Coturnix japonica: one gene and its partners. The protein of the gene in region 1 interacts with the protein of each later gene in a pairwise test. Links are inferred from orthologs where the notes say so. Each region holds a gene or a part of one and is shown in the gene's direction. Other genes may lie near its edges.

The links.
Region 2: the proteins of FHL1 (region 1) and MYBPC1 interact in a two-hybrid assay, tested with the Homo sapiens proteins (2 studies listed by BioGRID and IntAct). The link is inferred for Coturnix japonica from reciprocal best matches to the Homo sapiens genes FHL1 and MYBPC1.
Region 3: the proteins of FHL1 (region 1) and AKAP12 interact in binary tests that used the Homo sapiens proteins (3 or more experiments, as listed by UniProt). The link is inferred for Coturnix japonica from reciprocal best matches to the Homo sapiens genes FHL1 and AKAP12.

Annotation. Positions count from the first base shown.
Region 1 is NC_029519.1:4,092,725-4,101,304, forward strand, and holds the start of FHL1 (four and a half LIM domains protein 1), read left to right. Parts: upstream 1-3,310; 5' UTR 3,311-3,386; coding exon 3,387-3,408; intron 3,409-8,177; coding exon 8,178-8,359; intron 8,360-8,580.
Region 2 is NC_029516.1:56,618,224-56,626,006, forward strand, and holds part of MYBPC1 (myosin-binding protein C, slow-type), read left to right. Parts: coding exon 1-142; intron 143-1,603; coding exon 1,604-1,766; intron 1,767-2,275; coding exon 2,276-2,382; intron 2,383-3,483; coding exon 3,484-3,617; intron 3,618-4,812; coding exon 4,813-4,969; intron 4,970-6,259; coding exon 6,260-6,364; intron 6,365-6,937; coding exon 6,938-7,126; intron 7,127-7,783. UniProt on the Homo sapiens protein: Thick filament-associated protein located in the crossbridge region of vertebrate striated muscle a bands. Slow skeletal protein that binds to both myosin and actin.
Region 3 is NC_029518.1:43,984,190-43,991,972, forward strand, and holds the end of AKAP12 (A-kinase anchor protein 12), read left to right. Parts: intron 1-322; coding exon 323-2,233; intron 2,234-2,872; coding exon 2,873-2,881; 3' UTR 2,882-5,522; downstream 5,523-7,783. UniProt on the Homo sapiens protein: Anchoring protein that mediates the subcellular compartmentation of protein kinase A (PKA) and protein kinase C (PKC).

The DNA of each region.
Region 1 (8,580 bases):
GAAAAACCCAGCTTATATCTTCCCAGTTCTGCTGTTTTTCAGATCCCTCTGTTTCCAGTCCATTATCACTGTGCCATTCCTTCCTGTCTGTTACTACATCTTATTTTTTTCCCTCTTTTCTTATCCTCCTTTCTTTTCCCCCCTTTGTTTCTACTTACGTTACATCTGAGTTCATGGAGGGCTGTCTACCTTGTGCATGTCTTCTTATCAGCTTAATCCCACTTCCACAGTGCCATATCTCCGTCGTTGATCCTAAAAGCTTCCCCTGGGTGGAAGGACCCAGCCACGTGGGTAGGATTCCAGTCTCTGGGCTTGAGGTCAGCACAGTAGGAAGGAAATCATCCTTGTTCCCTCTCTTTGTGGGGCTGTCTGCTTATAGCCCTCCCAGTGCAAACACCACTCCGTGGTCCTTCCACCACCTGGAAGGAAACCTGGGCTCTTGCTTTGCTTTCACATGGAGTGGCTGAATCACTGCTGTGCTTTTCTGTGCAGGTTCACTGTGCATTGCAAAGCATAGGAGCCCATAGGAGCAGAAGGTGAAGTGTTAGCCAAAGAAGTGGACAGGTGCCCCCTTCCTGCTCGTATTTACTGCTCCCTGCTTCTTTCTTTGATGATGGTGACTAATAGTTCATCAATGCCTGGGTTCCACTGGCTCTATTTAGGACCCACAGCCTCTTGAGTGACAGCAGGATGTGTGGGCAAGCTGAGACGCCCAGACCTTTTCTGGCAGGATTGTTAAGGCAAGAAAATACTCTGGAAAGCACAATGTGAATCATTTGTCTATCCGAGCAGATGACACTATGTGCCAGCCATGCTGCTCTGCAGTCAGACCTGTGCGGTGGGATCACTGTGTCCAGATCCTGCTGTGCTGAAAACCCACAGGACACACTTCATGCTAAAGACATGAAAACCCAAACCTGCGTGCCCTGCTGTGTGCTCACAGCACTCCTTCCTCTCTGCCCAGCTCTGGCACAGAGTGGTGGCATGGATGGGGTGGGAGCAGGGGCCTCATGGTGATACTGCATACGGCTGTGCGTTGTGCTTGGGAGTGGGATGTGCTGTCGGTAGGGACTCCCCTCCTTTCTCTTGGACGTGCTGTCTTTCCTGGTAGCTTCAGTTCCATGTCGTGATCCACAGGGAGACAGTGTCCCTCCTTGGTGCTTGTGCTGTACCTTGCGCCACTGGTGTGTTTAATTGCATTCAGAAGGAGCTGGGCTTGCAGGGATGAATTAGACCCGTGGGGGGAGATGGGAATTACCCAAGGTCATACGGCTAAAATGAGACAAAAAACATACAAGAGCAGCCCTGTCCTCTCAGTAAGGCTTGTTCCCAGCCTGTCCCTGCTGCACTGGCCCAGGAGGCCACAAATTCAAGCAAAATGTCCTTGTTATTATGGAATGCTTTTGGGGAATTGCCAGGCTGAGCTGTGCAGTAAAATGCTGCTGCATGGAGACTCATGGTGAAACTTTATGGGCAGCAGTATCATATTCCTGCGTCCTGCTCCTGTTGTTTGGTTGAGCTTCCTCCCTGCCACCTCTTCCAGCCCATGCCTGTTGTTGCTGCAAATTCATTTGTGCACATGAAGCATTTTGATGGCCAAGTACCTGAGATGCTGCTGCACCGCAGCTGGACTGCAGCCACCTCTGGGTGGGACCTGGCAGTGCTGTGCTGCAGTTCAGGATGGGGAGCAAAGGCTGTTCTCTGTGATTGAAAACAGAGGGTATCCTAGGGGGAAGTAAGAAATGAGAGCCATGTGGGAATGCGTCAGCTCTTTGAGAATGGTTAATGGTGCTAACTTGACATGTATTGCCAAAAATGAACTCATGTCTGTAAATATTACACTGTGCACTGCAAGATTAGCACAGGAAAACAGCAGTTGTTGCGGTTCCTGTTACCATCTGAATTATTCAAACAGTTTGCAAGAGCTTATAGGTGAGCTGGGGCAGAGTAAAGTAAGGCTTTTCCTAGTCCAAGGGATTTTGGTGTGCTTGTCCTTTAGCACATTTCCCAGCCTCAAACTGCTACATGAGTGGGTCCATGGTGGTCTGTTCAGGGATGGCATGCTGGCAAGTGTGATTTTTCCAGGCAACGTTGAAAACATGAGGATGCTGGGATGATGCTGACCTTGCACGTGTACTGATGACACCCATACAGCCCAGTGCTGGGCTGAAGGCTCTGTGCATCATGCACTATGGTGATGAGCTCGTGCCATCCTTGGTGAGGAGCAGAGATGTGCTGTTGTGTGGCTGCTCAAAGGCCAGACAGCGCTGTGTTGGCCTGTGAATGATAAACACTGGCTGTCAGGAGGTTAACTGCCTTTCCCACGGCCGTGCACTGAGTCAGTGTCGAAGCAGGATTAGCAGCTGGGCGGCCCTGGCCGCAGCCCCGAGTGCACACAGTGCTGCTGGCTGCGTGACCTGGAGAACAGGGCTGTGGAGCTGCCTCAGCCCACATACCTCCATGCAGGAGAGCCCCGAAGCAGAGCTCCCTCTGCCCTCTGCTCCGTGCCATGGCTCAGGTGGAAGTAGTTGTGTGGGTTCAAATTGTGTACAGAGCTTCGTGGGCATGTGGGCAAAGAGGGCAGAGGCACCAGCCAGGGCTCTGTAATCCCACGGGGGAGGGAGCCCAGCTGTGCTGTTAGATACTAGAGAAGCCCCATGAACATGAAACCTGGCTTTTTAAGTGCTGCACTTCAGGGACTTGTTTGCTTTGGATGATTAATGCCTTGAGCTGCTTTAGAGTAAAAGCTGGAGGAGGCCCAGGCATGGTGGTTTTACCAAGACTTCAGCTTGCCTTGAAGACAAGTCCAGCTCCCATGAATGTACCTTTTGGTGCTTCCCAGGCTCTCAGCTGTGTCCCCAAAGATACAGCCTATGGCTGCTCTGGGCCCTACAGCCAGGGGACAGCCCCTATGTGTGGTCTGGGGCTGATTCCTTCCACCGCAGCCCTGCTGGCCCTGGGGGCTGTGATTCTCCTCTTCCCTTGGGCAACAGGGGTCAGAATTAATGCCAGGTCTGTTATTTAGCTCAGGACTGATATGAGACACAATCTAGCTCTAAAGCCAAGGCCAAATAGTACTAGCATGGGGTCAAGTTCCTGAGGCACTCTCTGCCTTTGGGACTAATTTGGGTGCTGAGTAGCAGGGCAGGTATTTACATGTTGCCTACAGAGGTCTCTCGATCCTATTCTTCTCCCTCAGATCACCTAAAATGGTAAGAATTTTCAAGGGGGATTAAGGTTGTGATCTCTGGGGAGGGGAGTGGACATCTGGTAGGAGTCCTGTCCGTATTAATAGCCTTCGTTTAAATGTATGTTATCAAACGGGGGAGCTTCTGATCAGCCAAGAGACTGTGCACTCTGTTGCTTGTGACTTTGGGCTGGTAATCATGGCTTTCCACAGGCACACAGGTAACGTGGACACGCTGCTGTCTGCATGTATGCTCTGTGTGGTAAATGGGGAAGAAAATTTTGCTAAGGGCGTCTGACTCTAGAGAAATAATTCATTTGAATGTGGTTTTACGTCTCTGCAACCTGCAGCTTTGACTAGTGGTGGTGAATGGGACTAATGGTAGCAGTGTGTGGGACCAGTGCTGGGAGCAGGGCAGCGAGGGGCACAGGTGGCAGTGGCTTCGTCTACCTGCAGTGTGCTTTGGATGTGCTTTGTGTTTGCTGCTGTGGGAGGGCTGGGTCCGTACTTCCAGATGTCTTTGTCATCTTCCTTGGTGTAGATGTTCTCTGGTGCAGGGCCCAGGCTTTGTTTGGCATTGGAGTGGTTCTAGTCCAAGTGCTTCAAGCGCTGATCACAATTAACACACACACACACAGCACTGATGTTATTTTTATTATGCATGTGCCTCTTGTTGGTGGTTCAGGCACTACACTGAGATGAGACAGAGCTGAGTCCCAGTTCCTGTTTTACTGAACTCATTGGACAAGTAACCAGGGTTGCTCACCAAAGCACTGCATGCTCTAGCTCCTTGACAATCAATACAAGCTGAAATAGCCAGCATGCAAACTGGGATGCACTGCGCAGATGAAGCAATGACAGCAGCGATACCTGAAGTCTTGTGCTCCTGTCAGAGGGTGTAGAAACATCCCACCCCTCAGGGCTGAACAAGGAACCTCTATCTGGCCTTGCTGCCAGGCAGATGGATGTGGCAGCATCTCCCGAACCACAGGCAGGGTCTGCTCTTCCAGCACAAGCTGTGATACAAAGTGCTAGTGCTGAGCATGTGCTGACACCACTGAGTTTTAAGTCAGTGTCTGTTTCTGGACCAGCATGGAGCCCCAATCCCCAGGGCATCTCCCATGGGGTTCTGCCATGCCTGCAGAGGGGCTTGAGCCATGCAGTGAGAGAAAACCTCGTGTCTTGTCCCTGGGGACACCAGGCATGGGGTGTAGTTGGGGAGAAGACAGCCACAGTTAGGTGCCAAACAGAACTTTGCTTTAGCTGACTTAGGTCATTTTGAAAGGCTTACACTAAGGCTGCCTAAGTGCTCAGCCCTGCTCTGAGCAGTGGTGCTGTGTACGCCAGGAGCTTTGTTAGCCTTAGCTGAGCTCCGTATTAAGTGTAGAAGTGCGTGTGTTTTTAAATAGCACGTCCCTTCTCCCCTGGGAAACTGACAGGATTTAATAATGATAGAGATGTGCTCAGACATGGTGGCAATAGGACCGTAGGGGATGATTTTGGCAGCAGCCTGAGGAACTTGGAGCTGTTCTTGTTCTAAATAAAGAAGATTCTCTTCTATCAACAGACTAATGTTTGAATTATAGACTATGAGACTCACACGTGCCCCAGCCTGGCAGCGAGAGAGCACGGATCTTTGCTCTTTACTGCCAACCCTCCCAGCAAAAATGACCTGCATGGGATATGTAAAGCCAACAGAAAGGAATAGATGTTGTCCAGTCACTGTGCCGGTGACCTTGAGATGCAGACCTGAGCACCTCTCTTCCTTTCTGATTAATAGTTCCCTTCTTTTGAGGGTATTCCCTGGTTCTTATAGCAAAATACACAAAACTGCCTGCAAGAACGCTGAGTAGACACTCAGGTGACACACCAGGAAGTGCCAGGTCCTGAGCCCAGACAGGCAGTTGTTGTCACTGCCCAGTGGTACAGGAGCTGTCTGATGAGGAAAACAAAGCTGATGGAGAGCCAAAAGGCAACTGCTCTTTCACAGTGTATCCACACCCCAGCAGAGGGTCAACAGCTTTGGCCTCTTCCTTCCTACCCTGGAGAAAGGGTAAAGGCAGTAAGTCCGTAAGGTTTAAGTACAGTTTCCCTGGTTGGTTTTAGAGACCACACTTCAAGTTCTTCCTTGGTGGTTTATCACATTGAAACACGTTCCCTGGAGACATTAACACACGCCCTGTGCTAAGTGCTTTGCTTATCAGCTATGCTTCAGCATTGTTTGCAAAGTGCTATGATTTAATTTGTTCCGTGCCATGTCATGGTGTAGGGGCTTGATGGTGATATACAGCTTGACTGAATCAGGATGAACCAGCATAGGGTCCATGGGAACTGAAGGGACGAGTAGGGTCGGTGTTAATGCAATTGCTTCACTTGTTAGATCTGCACCATTTCCATCCCAAAGCCTGATGCCTTACAGACATAGCCCTTACGACTGGCTGTAGGCAGACCTAGGGCCCAATTATTGGAGACTTTTGAAAGACCAAGTGCTGTCTGAGGGCTGAGGGGCTGCTTTTGAAAAGTAGCAGATGCTCCTTTGGGTTAACTTGTACCTCTATGCTCAGGTGAATGTTAGTGTTGAATTCCAATGGGTCTTTGTGCCAAATGCCCTGATACTTGAGAAGGCCACTGGTTTGGCTATCTGCCCTTTAGCTGTAGCCAAATTCATCAGGGAGCTGCATTTAGACAGTGCGCTGCCAGGGCTGGTGGGAGAGGGAAGCGGAGAAAGTTTCTGGAGTAACTTTTGGGAAACTGGTGATGCTTCTGTCTGGGAAGTCTGAGCTCTGGGGTAAGAACGGGAAGAGAATTAAAGTACTGCAGGATTTTCCTTGAGCCCTTTATTGAGGGCCCTGCAGGCTGTGTAGGGATAGGCATGTAGTGCATTTAGCCCTTCACCAGATGCTTGCAATTTGTCTCCTAATCTGCTCCTCTTCAGCATAGCATCCTCTGCATGGGGACATCATCCCGGGCTGGAGAACCGTTCAAGTCTGTCCATGCTTTTCCTCCATTTCCATCACCACTGCCTGGTTTCTGAGTCCAGCTTTTGGGCCGTGAGATGGCTCAAGGTGGGCAAAAGCTCCTGCGGGCTGCCAGACCCTGTGTTAATTGTGTGTGAGGCTCAGAGCTGCTGTCATAAATGTTTCCCATGTCAGCACGTGTTGTGTTACACAGGAACACAGGGTTGTGTTACTCCTTGAGCCATATGCTCGCAATTACATGTTCTGCTTGAAAGCAAACCCAAACCTGAGATGAAGAACGTTAAGATACCATTTGCTCTGGACTCTGTGCAACTGCATTTCTTCTAAATAAAACCCGCTCGCTTGATGAAGCTCAGCAGGGCTGGAGGTGGCTCGCATAGTTTCCATGTTTCCCAGCTGTTTGTTTGTTTCACTTCCTTGAAGCAGTACAAACACAGCCCTTGGCGTGGCTGTCAGCAGGACGTGGCCGTCTCCTGACCTTGGCCAAACAGCAGTTCCAGCCCCAGCCCCCACAGAGCGCAACCTTGGCCAGCTCGGCCTCTGTCCCACTTCACTTAGTTCTAAGGAAGGGAAAGGGAGTGAACCTGGCCCCTGCCTGTGCTGCAGCCTCCGTGTGCCACACTGTTCTCCCTGGGATCATCTGTCCTGGTTTCTGGAGCAGAAACGCTCCAGCTTGATCTGCAGCTCAGGCTGGTGTTGGTGTGGTTGTGCCTGGGTCAGGGCTTGCTCAATCTGATGCATGCTCGTGTTTGATGAGCAGGGGCTTAGCAGTGATTCCATGGCTGGCAGCCTGGGTTATGCGGTTGATGGTAATTCTTGAATTACTGGGGTGGGCAGGTGCCCAAGTAGCTGTTGTGTAAGCAGGTGCTCGTGCCATAAAGTGGTAGGGCTGCCTACGCAGCACCCAGCAGGCAAGTGATGGGCACTGTGCAGCTATTCCTGGGATGACAGCTACCCCACACGGCCTGACCGCTTCCTTCCTTCAGTCCATGCTGGTGCTTCAGCTCTGTCAGGAAAAGAATATCTGAACTTCTTGGTGCCCTGGCTCCATCTGGGTGCTGAGCCTGGCCTGTGAGCTCTGTAGGCTTCCTCTGAGGAAGGGCATGTGGAAAGGCAGGGATCTGCTGCATTTCATTAAGTGTAGGGAGATATTTTCTTGGTTTTTTTTTTGTTCCTCGTGACTTTGTATATGAAAGCCCAGTGACAGAGACAGCTGGAAGCTGCACAAGTATTTGGCACAAAAGGCCTTGGAGGGCTGCAGCTGGCTGCAGGCTTGGGCTGGAAGCATGGAAACTATTCTGCTCCGCTCTTGGTTGGCGGTGATTTCTGGACACAAATTAGGCGGTGCCTCAGCCAGGATCTCGCCAGGGCTGCAGCGGGTCCACCATGATGACCCAAGTCATTGTGAGTGATTAGGTACCATTATCCCTGCTTGACATGAACCAAAACAGTCTGGTGTTCTTCCTCTGAATAAGGTGACAGGGAAAGGCTGTCGTGTGGCCCTGCTCTTCCCTGAGCCATGGGGCAAGCAAACACAGCAGGTCATTCTCCAGGAGGCTGAGAGCTGCGTTTCTGTGTTTGGCCAGAGCCCATCCTGCCTCTTTGTAGGCAGAAATCTAGCATTCATATCTTGGATGGCTATTAAGGCCAAGGAAAATATTTGCGTTACTAAAACACTGCTTGTGCTAACTGCAAGCACGGTGCTTCCAGAAAGCTGGGTGGCCCCAGGAGTCAGCCCAGATCCTGAGCCCAATGGTGTGTTAACCTATCCTGGAGGCACATGGAAAGCTCTAGTGCTGGTGCAGGTGGCGGAGAGCTGGCTTGTTTTATCAAGCACTGAGCTGATAGAACTGCTGAGGTAACTTCTGCTGTCCCAGAAGCTGCTTTCTCCAGCAACAAGCCCTTCAGGCACACGACACCACCACACGCTCATAGCTGAGCCATTTTTTCATCACTTGTCAAGCCAGAACAGTTACCTCAGTGTTGTAAGTTTACCCCCATCCCTCCCGCAGGGCCCAGCAGTTACAGCGTGGGCACCATGTCGGAGCGCTTTGACTGCCACTACTGCCGCGACTCGCTGCAAGGCAAGAAGTACGTGCAGAAGGAGGGCCGCCACTGCTGCGTCAAGTGCTTCGAGAAGATCTGTGCCAACACCTGCATCGAGTGCAAGAAACCCATCGGTGCTGACTCCAAGGTAACTGCTTCGGTGCACTCAGAGGAACATGGGATCTGATTATTGTCATTTCTTAAATCAGTTTGTAAATGTTTGCTGCTATGTCTATGGCAATAATAACATACACCTGAACTGGAAGGCACAGGATGAAAAGTAGCCCTTGCTTATGGAACCCCACATCTCAAAGTTGTTAGCTTTGAAGCACCTTGTGCTACCCCCCAAATCCCAAAGTGCGTTTAGGC
Region 2 (7,783 bases), on another chromosome or scaffold:
AATGATCCTAAATCTCGATATCGAATCAAAGTTGAAGGTAAAAAACACACTTTGATAATAGAGGAGGCCGCAAAAAATGACAACGCAACTTACTCCGTAATGACAACAGGAGGCCAGTCAGAAGCCAAGCTTTCTGTTGATTGTAAGTATAATATATCTTGCTCTTGATATTAATGGTCATAGTTTGCTAAATAACAGTAATAATTTGCTTGCCTTTTTCTGAGGGCCTAAAGACAACTTTATCTTCCATGGCAATGTCTTAGCAGCAAATCTTCAGTTTGCAGTTACAGAAAGTGAATTAGTCCTGCTTGAAAATTACTGTCTGTTCATTAAGATGGAAAACATAGCTATCCATGAAAAGATATAACAGGTCAACAAATTGAAACATGCAGGGGAAGCACTTGCTTTTATTGAATCCTTTCAGGCTTTCGCAGGAAAGACAAAACCAAGACTTTTTAGATAAAAAGAGGGGAAAAAAGAAAATTGTGGGAAAAAAAATAAGAAAGTCTACTACTACGTGTACTTTTAACTGGCATCAGAGCCATTTGAACTAAACTAAAGGCACTAAAATGAGGCTATGTATCTCAGTATCAAACAGTATCAGTACTGCTTGAATATATCTTTAAAACACTTGTGGTTTCCAGCAAAATCTATGCATCTTTATAATCTGCCACTTTGGTTTTAGGCAGATGGCCATTTTGCGAGTAGGTGTAGATTTGGTCTTACTGGCATAGGTGAGCAAGATGGATTCTGAGTACGTGTTTGTGGTAAATTTGTTACAGTCTGTGAACTTACCATATATCATACATACACACATTATGCTTTTAACTATTTTATACAAAATTACGTCCTAAGCACAAACAATTCACAGTTCTCTTACCAAGCTGAAAATGATACACTGTAGCCATTGGATTCCCTAATCTTGCCTGCCACACTTATAAATTCATGCTTCTTCTGATGAGAATGTTCCAGCTATCTTTCTGTAAAATGCAGTTATTTTCCATCATTCCTTGTTTCACATGTCAGATTATAGGCAGGTATATTTAGTGCACATGCTGTGTGTTCAGCCTAGACTCTGGTCTCTAGCATCTGATCTTCCAGAAAGCACAAGTTCTCAGCCTCAAGTTCAACAAAAGCTAGTAATATCTTTGTGTTTTTACAGGGGCAGTTAGGGCAGCTTAGCAAACACAAGGAGAAGCCATGTATGAAATAACTTTACACTGTCCACCATGTCCTTTGATAAAAGCCTGACACAAGAGGCTCATAACTACAGTGAATAGTTGTAATTAACTACTTTGTTAAGTCTCCAAATTGTCTTGTTTCATGTGGGAGACCTCTGTAAGCAGTTAGATGGCAGAAAAGGGTAGGTAGACCTGTGCACTCTAAGAGTAGACCTAGGGACACAAGCCTTCCACATTTTGAAAGTTTTTTTACTGGATTCATCTTGCACTGGAACACCAGTGACACCAAGACAGAGTTCAAATATACTCCAAGTGAATACAGATCAGGTTTTCCTGCTCAGGGCATGGATATTTTGGATCAGCATTTCTTATAAGCTGTTACTTGATATTAACATTAATATATCTACTTCTCTTTTCCCAAGTGAGACCATTGAAGATATCACTTGCACTAGAAGACCAGACAGTGAGGCTTGGACAGGAAATACACCTGAAATGTGAGATATCAGAGAATGTGGAAGGGAAATGGTACAAAAATGGACAATTGATTGAAGCTAGTGACCGTGTAAAGCTTTATCACAAAGGAAGGTAAGCATGTCAAGTACTGATTTGATTTTTGATGAAGTGACATTGTAAAGATGTACCAATATGAGGGTTATTTCTCTGGAAACTATGTATTATCAATATGTAAAGCCTAAACTTTGTCCTTCAAACACAGTTAGTTTTTTGACAATAAAACCTTTGTCTTCTTTTCCTTTTTCATACTGTCCTCTGGCTGCGGAAGGCAATAATAATAAAATACTTGAAACATCTAATTTTAAGAGATTCTTTTTTCTGGACATTGCTGTTGCTGTTAGTATGGGATATTAGGTAGTAAGGGCAAAACAATTTGGGGGCATTATTAAGAATATTTAGACTTAAAAACAATACTATTTTCTGATAGTTTTTTTGTTGTTGTTGTTGTTGCTGTTGTTTTTGCACACACAGACTTACACACTTGCACAGATCTCCTAAACTTTTTTCTTCAGATTTTTCCTCATAGCCTCAACTAGTCTTCAAAAATAATTTACATGGCTTTCTTTTTCATTTTTTTACAGAATCCATAGATTTATCATAGCAAGTGCTGCTGTTGATGATGAGGCTGAATACATGTTTGTACCAGATGCTTATAATATTAATATTCCATGCAAAGTACATGTTGTGGGTAAGTACTTGGCACAACAAATTACAAATTGCATTTCCTTCTCTTTTACCCTTGGAAAGTGAAAACTGTGTGATATATCCTTGAATACAATCAGTTTGTTTCTTCTGAGCAGGTGCTTACTTCAAAGCACAGAGCTGCTACTTTGGCAAAGTGACACTGAGCTAGTAAGAGAGTACTTTACCTCAGGACCTGGTCATAGTTTACAAGCCTGGCGTGGCTGAATTCCTAAACTTTAACTACTGTTAACAGTTCATGTAAAGTAGTTCTTGGTATAATTTTTCAGACCTTCAGTGTTGTATTCTTCGAAGAATGGAATTTTTTTATATTTCAAGATATCTTTTAGCTTAGTAAAATATTTCAGTAGGTACATATTTGCCTATACAATACTTACGCTTAATGATTCCCAGAGAGTTAAATAAGATTTCCACAACAGTACCCCACTGACTTTTAACTTCAGGCAGTGAATGTGAAGTCTAAATGACACCAATATAAATGATCAAAGTTTTAGAAAATATGGCTTGTAAATGATGAGTGGGATACTTACATTAGAAATGAGATTGTCAAGAATTAGGGAGAATGAAAAGAGAGTGGGTACTTTCACAGATAAAATATATTAAAGTAAGAGCACATTCATCAGTTCTCAATATCCATGGAGTACAACAGAAGTAATCATTTCATTTCCAGGAAAAGTATTTAGACTAAGAAAAAGTTTAAAATATTAGGGCAATAAGAGAATAATGATGCTTGGAGCATGACAATTCCAAATGTAGAACATCTACAATGGAAATTTTCAAGAGCCAATTATTGGAAATCTCTCTCACATTATCTAAATTTAAACAATCCTGCCTCAGGAAGGTGGATTGTTTTTCTTTTATGGACCTACTATTCCCAAATCTCTATGGTTCTATGATTCATTCTTCATCGATTATTTTCTTCCAGAATTTTTTCTTCTCTACTTTACTTCCAAACAGATATTGAGTAAAAATACCAGGAAAATATGAGCAGCAGAGCGTGTTTCTCTGTATCTCACACTTGTTCCCAGGTTCCTAAATTTTGGAAGAGGAAGACCTATAAAAATTTGGGCAATTTTTTCTTTTTCAGATCCTCCTAAACTTCACCTTGATGGTCTTGGGGAAAATAACACTGTGACAGTAGTGGCAGGAACTAAATTACGCCTTGAGATACCTATCACTGGCGAGCCAACACCAAAAGTCATGTGGAGTAGAGGGGATAAGGTACAGTAACATCATATTTGTTTTTAAAGGTCAATGAGGAGATTTTTTTCCCTTAACAAAACAATCTTTAGTCTGGTGAAGATATGGAAGGAAATAAAAATGGGATACGTTATCCTGTCGCACTTAAAAACTCTTCTCCCTCAACTGTGAAGGTAAAACTGATAAATAGTGTTTAGTATTTTAAGGATCTTTTTGAGGAAACACTTGACACTGCTAAGATGAAAAATATGCTTTTTCTACAAATAAATTTTAAAGTAGGTGAATATATTTGATGCAGAAGAAATCTAATGAAAATCTACCAGTCAGCTACTTACGGTATGTGTAATGTCCAGAACAGCAGTTTTGACAGGGAGCCATAGTAAGGTCTGGTTATAAAATAAATAGTTCTGATGAAGAATCGAGACTAGGATGAAATATTAGCCTGGGCAGTTACTGTTTTGCGTATAGTGTCTTTTGTGCTAAACTTTGCACTCCCGAGTATATTATACCAAAAAGCCAGACTTTCCACATTTAAATTTTCATTTTGGTATGTGCTACATGTTATTTCTGCTGGACTTGTCAGGCCTATCACATCAAATCTTACTAGTATTTTCCAAATATCAGTGGTATTATTAACACCACAGACTGGTTCAAATGAGAAGCTCCCCTAGGAGATCTTATTCAAAAATGTGTAAGTGTTTTTACAACAAGGACAAATTACTGACCCTTACTATCCATCTCATCATTCAACTCAATGAATTACACTACAGTTTTATTTAAGATTCTTTATTTAAGAATCTTTTTAAAATATTTTACATTTAACCTTTCTTAAGATTTCACTACTCTCTTTCCATCAAGTAGTGCTGATTAAAGCATGTTCTTGATTATGTGGTAATTGAGCCTACTGAACCCTCCTTTGAGATGTAATGGCTGACCTGAGTACTAAAGGTACAGTATTTTAAAGCCATTTATTTATTTATCACTTGCTTAGTTTGTCTTTTTTTTCTTTTTTTTTCTTTTTTCTTTTTTTTTTTTTAATGACAATCGGATGACCGAAATACTGAGCTTTAATGTGAATTTCTCTTCAGAAAATTTTTGTTGAAGTGTTCTGTAATGCACTTGAACTTGGATTTTTGAACATTTGGTTCTTAAAGCAGAAAACTTGACTTTTCCCTCTGCTTACTTTGTCTTACTTTTGTCGTACTTTGATTCCTAGATGATCACAGACAGTGGAAGAATACGGGCAGAAACATACTCAGACAGCAGCTGCCTGGTCATTGACACAGCTGAGAGAGAAGATTCAGGTCCTTTCAGAATAACATTAAAGAATGAAGCTGGGGAGGACACAGCCCTTATCAACATTAAAGTGGTCGGTAAGTCATGTGGAAAAATGCACATGAGCGATACCATTTACCATGGTTTTTTTCAATAAATGATCCCTGAGAACACTGCTTTCCTGCATTCCAGCAACAGCCAAATTCTTCTTCTGTATCTCTCCTCCAAATGCTGCTATCCCTCTGTTTTTCCTCATTTCCAGGTGTGAAATTGACATGCAAGGATACTAAGGCACAAAGTTAATGAAGAATATGGTAACTTAGTATGGAATTTAAGTAGGAGTTAATTATCACCCCTGCTGCCACCTCACCTTGCTGCACCTAAGCTTCTGAAGTTGCCTCTATTTGCTTCAAGCATTCTATATTTTCCTGGTGCCTGTGGCCCTTTCTTGGCACATTCCCTTCAGTGCCCCTCAAGAAATTTGACAGTGTTGAAGAACTTGGCATTTCCTATCCCACTTGTCAGGATTCACAAAAACATCCTTTCTCTGTGCAAAGAAGAGCTTGAGATGCTCTGAGCCAAATGTGCAAGGCCATGGAAGCATCAATGGTCAAAGTTCGCTCTCCAAAGAGAGTGAGGTACAAATGAGGGCTGCAAATATATTTTAGGTACACAGAGGACTCCCCTGCATTATTACAGTATTTATTCCAGAAAACAATGATTTGGAACTTTAAAGGCGAGTTTATGACTTTTTCCCATGTCATTTTTCTACTGGCGATGTCATGTAGCTCCCTTTTCAGCCTTTCTGTAGCCCTTTCTAACACTTGTAATTTCCCTAATGCGTTACTCCCAATTACCTCAAAGTTATAGATTTAATCAAGTATTGCACTAATATATCTATCAGTAAAATGTCATGTAAAATGATAGAAAACATTTAAGTGCCCATGGGTCTTTGTGAAGCTATACTTGAATTACTCATAGAAGATCACAGAAGGACTAGCAAAGCAGGTGCTCTCAAATCTCAAGACACTAAATGGCTGTTAGAATATCTTTCCTGTGAAGAATTCAGTCCAGAAAGGCCAAGTATATTCACAGCAGCTATGTCTTTTACTATTCTGAATGTTGTTTCTCAAATCACATTTTAGTGATGAGTTTTTGTCTCCCTCTGCTGATCCATTCTTACCAATGTACTTGTTCTCCATTCATTCTCACAATTTCTTTTCAACACAAGATTATTTTTGTGGCTGACTCTACATTTTCTATTCTAAGTTACCTATTGGACTTCAGATTTGTTTCTTGTTTGATATATTTTATTATAGATTAGGCATAGATAGGAAAGATCTTTTTTTTTTTCACTTTTGTTTGTTTGTTTGTTTGTTTTACAACAGATGTGCCTGATCCTCCTCAGGCACCAAACGTGACTGAGGTGGGTGAAGACTGGTGTGTTATGACATGGGAACCTCCAGCAAATGATGGTGGATCACCCATCTTAGGTAAATAATTTTCCTTTCATTTGATGATGATCTAATATAGACAAAAGAAACACACTCTACGTAATGGGCATCACAGTATCAGAGTTCAGCTCTGGTACTGGAGAGTGACACTTTGAGTAGACTACTGAAAGAATATTGCTTCCATTCTTTGATGTTATCATAAGTTTTATCTGTTATCATTCTCCCTACTCGAAAACAACTTTTTATAAAGGCAAAACTTGAAGAGTTTGATTGTTAGCAGCAATTTCAGAAGCAAATGTAATATAGTAGAAGGTCATAGGTGACCAGAGGCCAGCAGAATCAGGTCTTTTTCACTCTAAACTAAATACAGTTAAATTAAAAATATTAAATTAAAATATTAAATGAAGTTTGGGGGGAAAAAATATCCAGAGAGGACAAACAGATGACTAACAGTTAATCCACAAGGAGAAAAATTAAACAGAAACTCCCAAAGAACTCTGAAGCTAGAAAGGGATAGTGAGCCATATTGAAAACTATTGGTCAGTCAAAGCATGGACACCTCATTATTGAACATTATGCTATTACTATAATACCATTTTGTTTGGTCTATAGGATATTTCATTGAAAGGAAAAAGAAACAAAGCTCACGGTGGATGAGACTGAATTTTGAACTGTGTAAAGAAACAACCTTTGAGCCAAAGAAGATGATTGAAGGTGTTGCTTATGAGGTCCGTGTATTTGCTGTTAACGCAATAGGCACTTCCAAACCAAGCATGCCTTCAAAGTCTTTTGTTCCTTTAGGTAAGTTTTGTTCCTTCAGGTAAGACTAGAGAAACAGCTATGCATTAGGCAATTATTCTTGATACGTTATTGCAGTCATTTAATTATATAAATGTAGTTCTTTCCACATGTCTGTTGCTCACAATCTGTCTATACTAGGTGCTGTGTAAGTTTATATCCATGTATCTAAATCTCTATCTTTCATAAACAAGAAACAAAATAGGTATAGACAGAAAAATGTTGCACTGCAATAAAATAGTGACATACATAGGTGAGCCCAATATATTATGGTCAATACATTTCAAGGACCATAATTAACAGTTTCATGTCTCTGTGTACTGAATCAATCATATCAAACTATTGGCAATGTAGATGAATGATAATGATGAAATAATATCTTGGTCGTTCCGTTCTTCAGTCAGACAAGACCCTTTGGTCAAAAGTATCCAGAAAAAGGTATGGTTTTGTTTTTTGATTTGGGGAATATATTTTTTTCAGAATAATTGAGTATTATTGATGCCTTTTTCCAACTACAAACCAAATTAGGCCAGATCATTTTTCACACCATTTTTTATTTTCTCTTATTATTTGTACTTTATATTAATGTAACAGCTAAAGGGCTTTGTCAGTCACCTTACAACTAATTTGGTAGCCTTTTAATGTAAAGAAATATTTTTT
Region 3 (7,783 bases), on another chromosome or scaffold:
AAGGAAGGAATAGAAATCACGTCACTATCTCCATGTCATGCAGGAGTTACTATGACTGATTTGTTTCTGCCTTCTTCCACCATCTTTCTGGCTTAGTCTGTGTTCCAGATGTGTCAGCTGTCCGTTGTTTCCTGAGCCATGTCCTGTCAAACTGGATATGCTGGGATCTTAGTGGCCCACTAAACTCAACATACTCAACTCACAATCTTCCCATAACCCTACTCCCCTCGTGGTCTTATATTCTGCTGCTCTTGCATCCAGAGTGTTCTCAGTCTCCCCCAGCTCACATCCTTATTTACAGGACTGTTACCATTCTCCACAGGTGCAGAACGAGATTGAAGATGAAACCTCTGCATTAGGATCTACAGGAGAAGAGCCTGCAGAACTTGAAGGAGAGGGTGAAACACTCCCTGTGGGACCAGTGCGCACAAAAGCGGTTGTCGCAGAAGTCCCTGTCAGTACTGAGAGTCAGGATGAAACTCCTGAGTTAGACTTGCAAGAGCAAACTTGTATCAAAGCAGTTCCTAGCGAGGTACCTGCACAGAGAGAGGAAGATGATGCTGTGCTCCTTGGAGTAAAGAGCTCAGAAGTCATTGCTGATGAGGTCCCAATGGACAGTGAGGTAGAAACCTCAGCTCTTACATCAGAGGCAACTGGCTCAGAAGCAGCTGAGGCTGCTGAGCAGAGTGTGAGGGATGAGGATGGCAGGCAGATTACAGCAAAAGATCCTGTCCCTGTCCTAGAGTCAGAACTCATAGAAAAAACAACTGAAGCTCTCTCCCAAAGTGATGAAATTGAAAGTGGTAAAATAGAAGATTCCATGCTCAAAACTGAAACACGCTCACTGTCTGATAATGCTCTCACTGAGCACCCTTCCAAGACTGAAGAAGACGAATCTACTTTAGCATCAGCATGCCTAGATGTCACTGAAAATGGAAGCACCATCTGCACTGACGTAAGTCCTAAGACAAGCGAAATACAGAGCAGCTTAGCTGAAGAAAGGACTGCAGAAACAAAACAAGAACTTGCAGAAATCTCAAACAGTCAAGACATTCAGAAAGAGGAAAACATAAATGGGCAGTTGATGGAAACAGTCGAAGAATTTCAGTCTGGAAAACAGGAAGCTGTGAGGGATGATGAATGTTGTTCAACAGCTGTCCAGCAAGAGGTTTTCTCTGTGCAAGAGGAAGGCTGTGACTCGGCCTCTCCACCAGCTGAAAGCTCAGAGTCCCTGGAAGTGCCTGTGCCTGTAGCAGCTGCAGCAGCTGAAGAGCATGTTGTAGCAGAAGCTGCTACGCCCACAGCCAAAACTGTAGACCCCTTGGCAACCACACCAGAACAAATGGCTTCTGGTGAGGTCCCAGCTTCTACTCCCGACTATTCAGGCTGTGAGACTGCAGAGCCTGGTACTGTGGAAGCACCCCAGCCTCAGGTAACTCACGCTTATGTTAATGGAATATCAGAGAAGGAAGAGAGTTTCTGGAGTATGGATCAGCCCAAACAAAACACTGCTCCTTTAAGTGATGGTCTCACTCTCTCCCACGCGGAATCTGAGACGGATGTTGTTCCAACTGGGACTATAGAGTCCCAGAGTACAAAAATTGTATTGAACGCCATCCAGACTGCTGTTAACAAACTTACAGAAACAGAAGAGACAGCTGCCTTAGAGTCAGAACAGCACACTAAGTCCAGAGGGAAAAGCCTGACAGACACGACTTTACCTGAACTTTTGGAAAGTATGCAGGTAGTAAAGGAAGAAGAGGTATCAAGTAAAGAGCAGGAGCTCCAGCAGTCCCGACTAAGCAAGCATGCTATATTAACAGAGTCTGCAGATATTCATGCAGCTGTAGAAAAAGCAAAAGACGTGCTATTAACTTCTGAGGCACTGGAAGATGGACCAAGTCAGAATTCTGACTTTGTGACTACTCCTGAAGACATTTCAAGGGATAGAGTGAGAGTTGAGAACTCAGCATTAGAGATAAGTACCTCAGAAGATTCAACCAAAGATATCCTAGACATACGCCAAGTAAAACTGAAGGAAAAGGAGATAGGAAAGGTTGTGGAGATCTCAGACCAACATATAGGTAAACAAACGTGTGGAGAAAGGGAGGAAGATGGTCACCCACTAGTGGAAGATGGGAAAACACAAACATGGCAGGACGATGGTTGCCAAGAAGACACAGATTGTGATGGTCCACAAAGTCAGAACTTGTTGGCTCCTGAGGCTCTGAATGTAAGTAGTATTCGTAGCCAGTGATTTCTTACTCTTCGCAAAGTAGATTTTGGGATTTCTGCAATTATTGTCTCTTTTTTTTTTTCTTTTTTTTTTTCTTTTTTCCTCCTCGGTTTCAGAAAAGACAACTGCTCTCTGCTTTAACTGGCCATAGAATTCCCCACACAGTCTTTACTGTCTCTTGGGCTACTTAGCGCCTTGCTTTTTTCCATACAGATACTCACATAAAAGGCCTTTGTCTTGGCCTGTAGTTTAGTGTGATATTTCTAGGAGGTAAAAAATTATGATTTCCAGTTTTCCTAGGTTAAACACCTACAATACAAGTCTGTATAGGATTTAATCCATGAGCGTGATTCCATGCTAACAGCTCTTTGTAAAAAAAAAACTAAAGGAGGTTTTTGTTGCCTTCCATAGTAAAGTTGAAGTGCTTCTTTCCCAAAGCTCTTTGCACTTCAGTGAAATCTGAATCAGAAAAGGTGACAGTTATAGTCTCTCACACAGGTATTTGGTGTGATTGCTCAACTAAGCCACGTGACTGTCTTCAAATCCATTTCTAAAATTGTTTGAGAAAGATACTATGATGCTCTTGAGATAAATTGTCATTAATAAAGCTTTTTTTTACTGCCTTTTCTCTTTCAGTCGTGCTAAGGATCCGTGTGGCGTTCTGAGAGATACCAGTGTTAGAGAACAACTGACAATCCTGTGAGAGAACCAGGAGCTTAATTCACTACCCTTTATTCTTGGATGTTAACACCTGCTCTTTTGAAGACTTCACCTTTTTTGTCATTAAAAACCAATGCCTTTAATATTGGGTATATCCACACGTGTCCCATTCAAAGGTCATCTGCCTCTGCTGAAAATGTCCCATTTAGACTGGAGATGCACATCAGAGTGAATGGACAGACCACTAAAATTTGTGTCAGAGTTGTTGCCGTCCCCTCACTTAACTTTTCCGTCCTGTATGTCCCATGTCTCTTGAATTCTCCATTCATCCCTAAAACCCCTACCTCCTTTCTGCGGTCCCCCTTACTCCCACCATCTTCCGTAGCTGCCTTGATTTGACCAGCGAGCGGCCACAGCTGCTGCTCGACTTCTGTGCTGAAGGGGAGAGCTGACTGAAGAGAACACATGAGACTTATGGCTGATAGAAGGTGCGTTTGTCAAACAGCAGGAACTGGATCACGCACAGATTTTTGAGCAAGGTGCTCAAGATTGCTGCCTTTCAGTCCCATTCAGGTATCTCTATCTGTCCTTCGATTGTGCGGGCCTGATTTAGTCAGAATTTGTTTCTACAGTGTAGCTTGAAAGGAGGTTGAGAGTACTCTTTTTTTTCTGTTCAAGACTTCAGGTTTCGAGACTGGACTGTAACGTGTTGAATATTTATATGTATGTCTTAATCCCAGTTCTGATTTTAATGTAGAGCTCTGATACTTCTGTACTGTTTAGGCATACCCTAAAAGGAATTTTGTAGAGTAGCCTGGAGAGGAAATTCATACTGATGGAGTGGAATTCAATAACATATAGTTTCATATTTATTGTTCCAGGTTTATCCCCTTGTAAAATCTCTCCAAAACTTGGCAGTCATGCTTTGAATATTTATATGTAAATCATAAGCCCAGTTCTGATTTTAATGTAGAATTCTGATATTTCTAAAGACAAAAGGAGAGCCCTGACCTGTTCCAGATCCAACTGTGCTGACCAGTGTCCCTTCCACTTGCAGTCCTCTCAGGTTTCTGAGAACCCTTTAGGCTTACCCTTTCCCTGCTGTCTTGCTCATACAGCAGCCCCAGGCGTACCACAACCCTGAATCACACCCTGCTCTTGGCAGAGTCTGCTCAGTCCTGATCACAGCCCCATCTATCCCCAGGATGTTACCTTCACTAACATCATATAATATTCACGTTGTATACAAGTATCCTCCTTTCCCAACCCATGGCTGAACCATCCCATCACAGCATTCCCCATTTCTTGAGATCCTTGTTGCTTTTACCAATTCCCTGAGGGTGGGGGGGGGTGGGGTAGAGAGGGTAAGGGCTTGGTAATGAATTCTGCCTTGGATTGCAAAAGGCTGAAGAAAAGCTTGTAGTACTGAGTTCCTAACAACCTTCACCTAAGCTGGGTTGAACTGAGAACAGCTGCAAACTGGGGTGAGCAGGGTGATCTAAAGACAGAAAGAAACCTCACTGGGATTGCCTATCCCCAGCAGGAGTAGGTCCTTCCTTTTGTTGTTTACATTAGAATCAAACATGGGCTGCAAGTCAATCCTTTCAGCTCTGATTTCGAAAGTGAAGGTTCCAGATGGCACTTTGTGAAACCGATGCCACCAAGCGAACAATAGCTCACTATCCTACCTGTATAGTAATTTATTTGAAAATCAACTCTTAGTGTACAAATGCTCTTGTTACAGCAGGTGCTCGCCTCTCCTCGGGGCTGCACATACAGCAAGCAATGTGACTGATTGCACTGGTGTGATTGCACCATCTGGTGCTGCCCTGCGTGGAAGCATCAAGAGATTTTTCCTTACCTCAGAGCAAATTATATAAATATTTAAAGCTGAACAATGTGGTTTCAAACAATCCAGTCTGTCTTTGTCCATTGTTAGCGGCAGCTTTTTCCCCCTAGCTTTGGGCAATTCCAACAATCTCTGTTGGTTTCCACAGGTTTAAATTGGCTTGCAAGTTAATCGTGCTCTTAATAACACCTCACAAGTGCAAACTTGGCTGAATTTGTACAAACTGTATACCTATGTACGTTAAGCCATATTGCAATAAATGCAGCAGGTAAAACGAAATAACAGTAGCATGACCTGTGTAATCCCAGTTCTTATGTTTGTAGCTCCAAAGCTGTTAATAATATGTAAAGTTAATTCTTGTCTGAACCTCATTTAAATAAAGCTAGCTTTATCACAATGTAAATTGTCTGTTGGTAGTAATTGGACAGGCAAGTGCTTCAACTTGCTCGTTTTCTCCATTAATCCAGGGCCTAGGTAAGCAATGCGACAAACATAACTGTAAAACAAGTACAAAAGCTTCTTGTAACTGACAGCTGACAAATATCGCGCCTGAAGCCACGCTAACGGTGCAAGGAGCACGGCTCCACCTAACGATCCCACTTTGTTCCGGTGTATTGCTTTGGCCTCTGAAACTCTCATTTGAGACTGTGACTTCTGGCTTGTGCTTAAAAGCTTGAAGCTTTCTCAAATCCAATGTATTGGGTTACCAAATCTGATTTTTGTTTTTAAGGTAGATTTTCATTAATTAAATAAAATACAACTAAAATTTTCTTCTAATGTGTGTGTGTGTTGTTGTTCTTTTTTTCAGCTTTACTTCTTTTTGCTTTATCTTCAGTGAGTTTGATTTGCTCCTGATGCTAAATCCATTGTCAGTAAATACCTGCACTAGTCACAGGAAAGGCAGGCGCTGAAGCGCTCAGTGCAGGATGCTGTTTCCTCCTTTGTTTCATATTGCACCCATGGGCTCGTACTGCAGGTGCCTAATCACTGCCCAGCTCAGCAGCATCAGGAAGAACAGACTAAAGCAGCAGCTCCCACCAGACTGTGCCTGAGGTGCACAGCTGTAATCCTCTGCCTGTCCTTGTGCAAAGTCTATGTATTTATGCTATCCTGTTACTCGTTAATATGAGGTCTCTAAACGGCCATTAGTGTAGGGACTGGAGACGAAGCAACCTGAAGCACTGGAGGCTGTTTTGTTGGAACAGCTTGAGTATCCTGCCTATTAGCTCAGGCTATGGAGTGGATCTGGCTCTCCTGTTTGGATCAGCACACGTGTGAGGCAGCTGTGTGCACAGAGGGACCTGCATGGCCTGGCTGCAGCAAGTGCCTGGGGATGGGCAGGCTGCCTGCCAGAAATGGGATGCCTGAGGTGGCCTCGTGTGCTTGCTGCAGACTGGAGCTTTGTTATTCACAAGGCCATGAGGAACTGGTGCCCTGCAAGGAAGGGCATGGCTTGGGATGGAGAGGAGAAGCCCGGTGGGACTGGCAGCACAAGGTTTTGAGACCTGGCCTTGGGGAGATGGATGAGATGTGTGACCACTTCCACAGTGCTAACAAGGTGGGAGTTTGGCCGTTTAGTCTTTACCAAAGGGAGAATGAAAGATTATGTGTGAAACACCCATGTCTGTCCTGCTACAAAATTCTCATGGAAAGTTTTTAAAATAGGATGAACTGTTTTCTGAAGTGTCTCTGGTTCCTCTCTAGCAAATGGCTTCCATTGCTGGGAAGGTCTGCCTAGCTGAGCTTTTGGTGCTGGGACTGATGATAGGACAATGTGAGGGCAGCAGAAGGCCAGCAAGTCATGGAAGCTGCTTCCTGAGAGTGGTCTCTGCATCGCATCTTGCAGCAGCTTGATCCTATCCCTCTAATTCAGCCTATAGCTGTATCCCCATCCCTCCTACAAAGGAACCAGAGTAGCAAGAATAACCATCGCAGTAGTTTTTCCTCGAAGCAGCTGGACAGGAAGGGAATTCTTTTAAACTCACAAGGAATTTACAAGCCAACTGCTGGCCTGAGCAACAGAGATCCCAGGGGCCCATCATGAAGCATCCCATCACAAATCCCAGTGTCACAGTCCTCTCGCAGTGGCCTTCTGTGGGCCCTGGGTCCTGCAGTGATACAGCGCCTGCCCTGCATGAGCTGTCTCTGCCCAATAAGTGGTGCTGCGTTGATTCTACACTCATTTCCAGGAGATGCTGCCTGCTGTTTCCTGTACAAATGGCTGTACGAACTGAGAAACTGACACAAACCTGCCTGCACTGCCATGTCCCTCTTTCTGGTGGCAGCCTTGAGGGTTACACATTGGTTTTTACTGATCTCCCAGATGGTGTTTTCATATTACTTTATGAGAAAGACCAAGAATTATGAAGACAAGTGTAACCTGCCCAGTACTCGGGCTGTGACATGAACTCTCCTAAACTGCACTATTTGCTGAGCAATCTTAAAGACTGCATTATTCTCTTTGGCATGAATCTCCCTTCTGGGAAAATACTTTTATTGGATTTTTGCATAATCTGTCTTGATCCTGCAATTGGATTTAGGCTTGCATGTCCTCTCTGCTCCCCACAGAAGAGGCAGCTAATACCTCACAGATGAGGGGAGGAACCTTCATCTCTGTCAGTGGCTGCTGTGGCAATAGCTGGGCACATTGCCTGCCGTTCTTTCTAGAAAGGTGTAGCTCATTAAAAGAAAAACAAACCAACCCTTTAAGCCAGTATTCTTATGGACTGGTGGATGCAGGGCTTATATTTGCCATGGCAGCATACTGACTAGATTTGAAATCGTTGCTTTGTTTTCTGTCATTCACAATTGGTAGCTGCTTGTAGTAAGAAGAGACAGAGTATATTATCTGTATATTATTTCTGAACGTGTCATAAGGCCTGGACCTTCCCGTTACCTATTTCTGATTGTGGCTAACATACAGGGGGAAAGCAGTGACGTGCTTTGGCAAGCCAACCCATCACATTTCCATGGAGCACTGTAGAAATGAGGAACTTTGGCACACCACCACTGAAAAACCAATCAGTTCTTGCATTTTG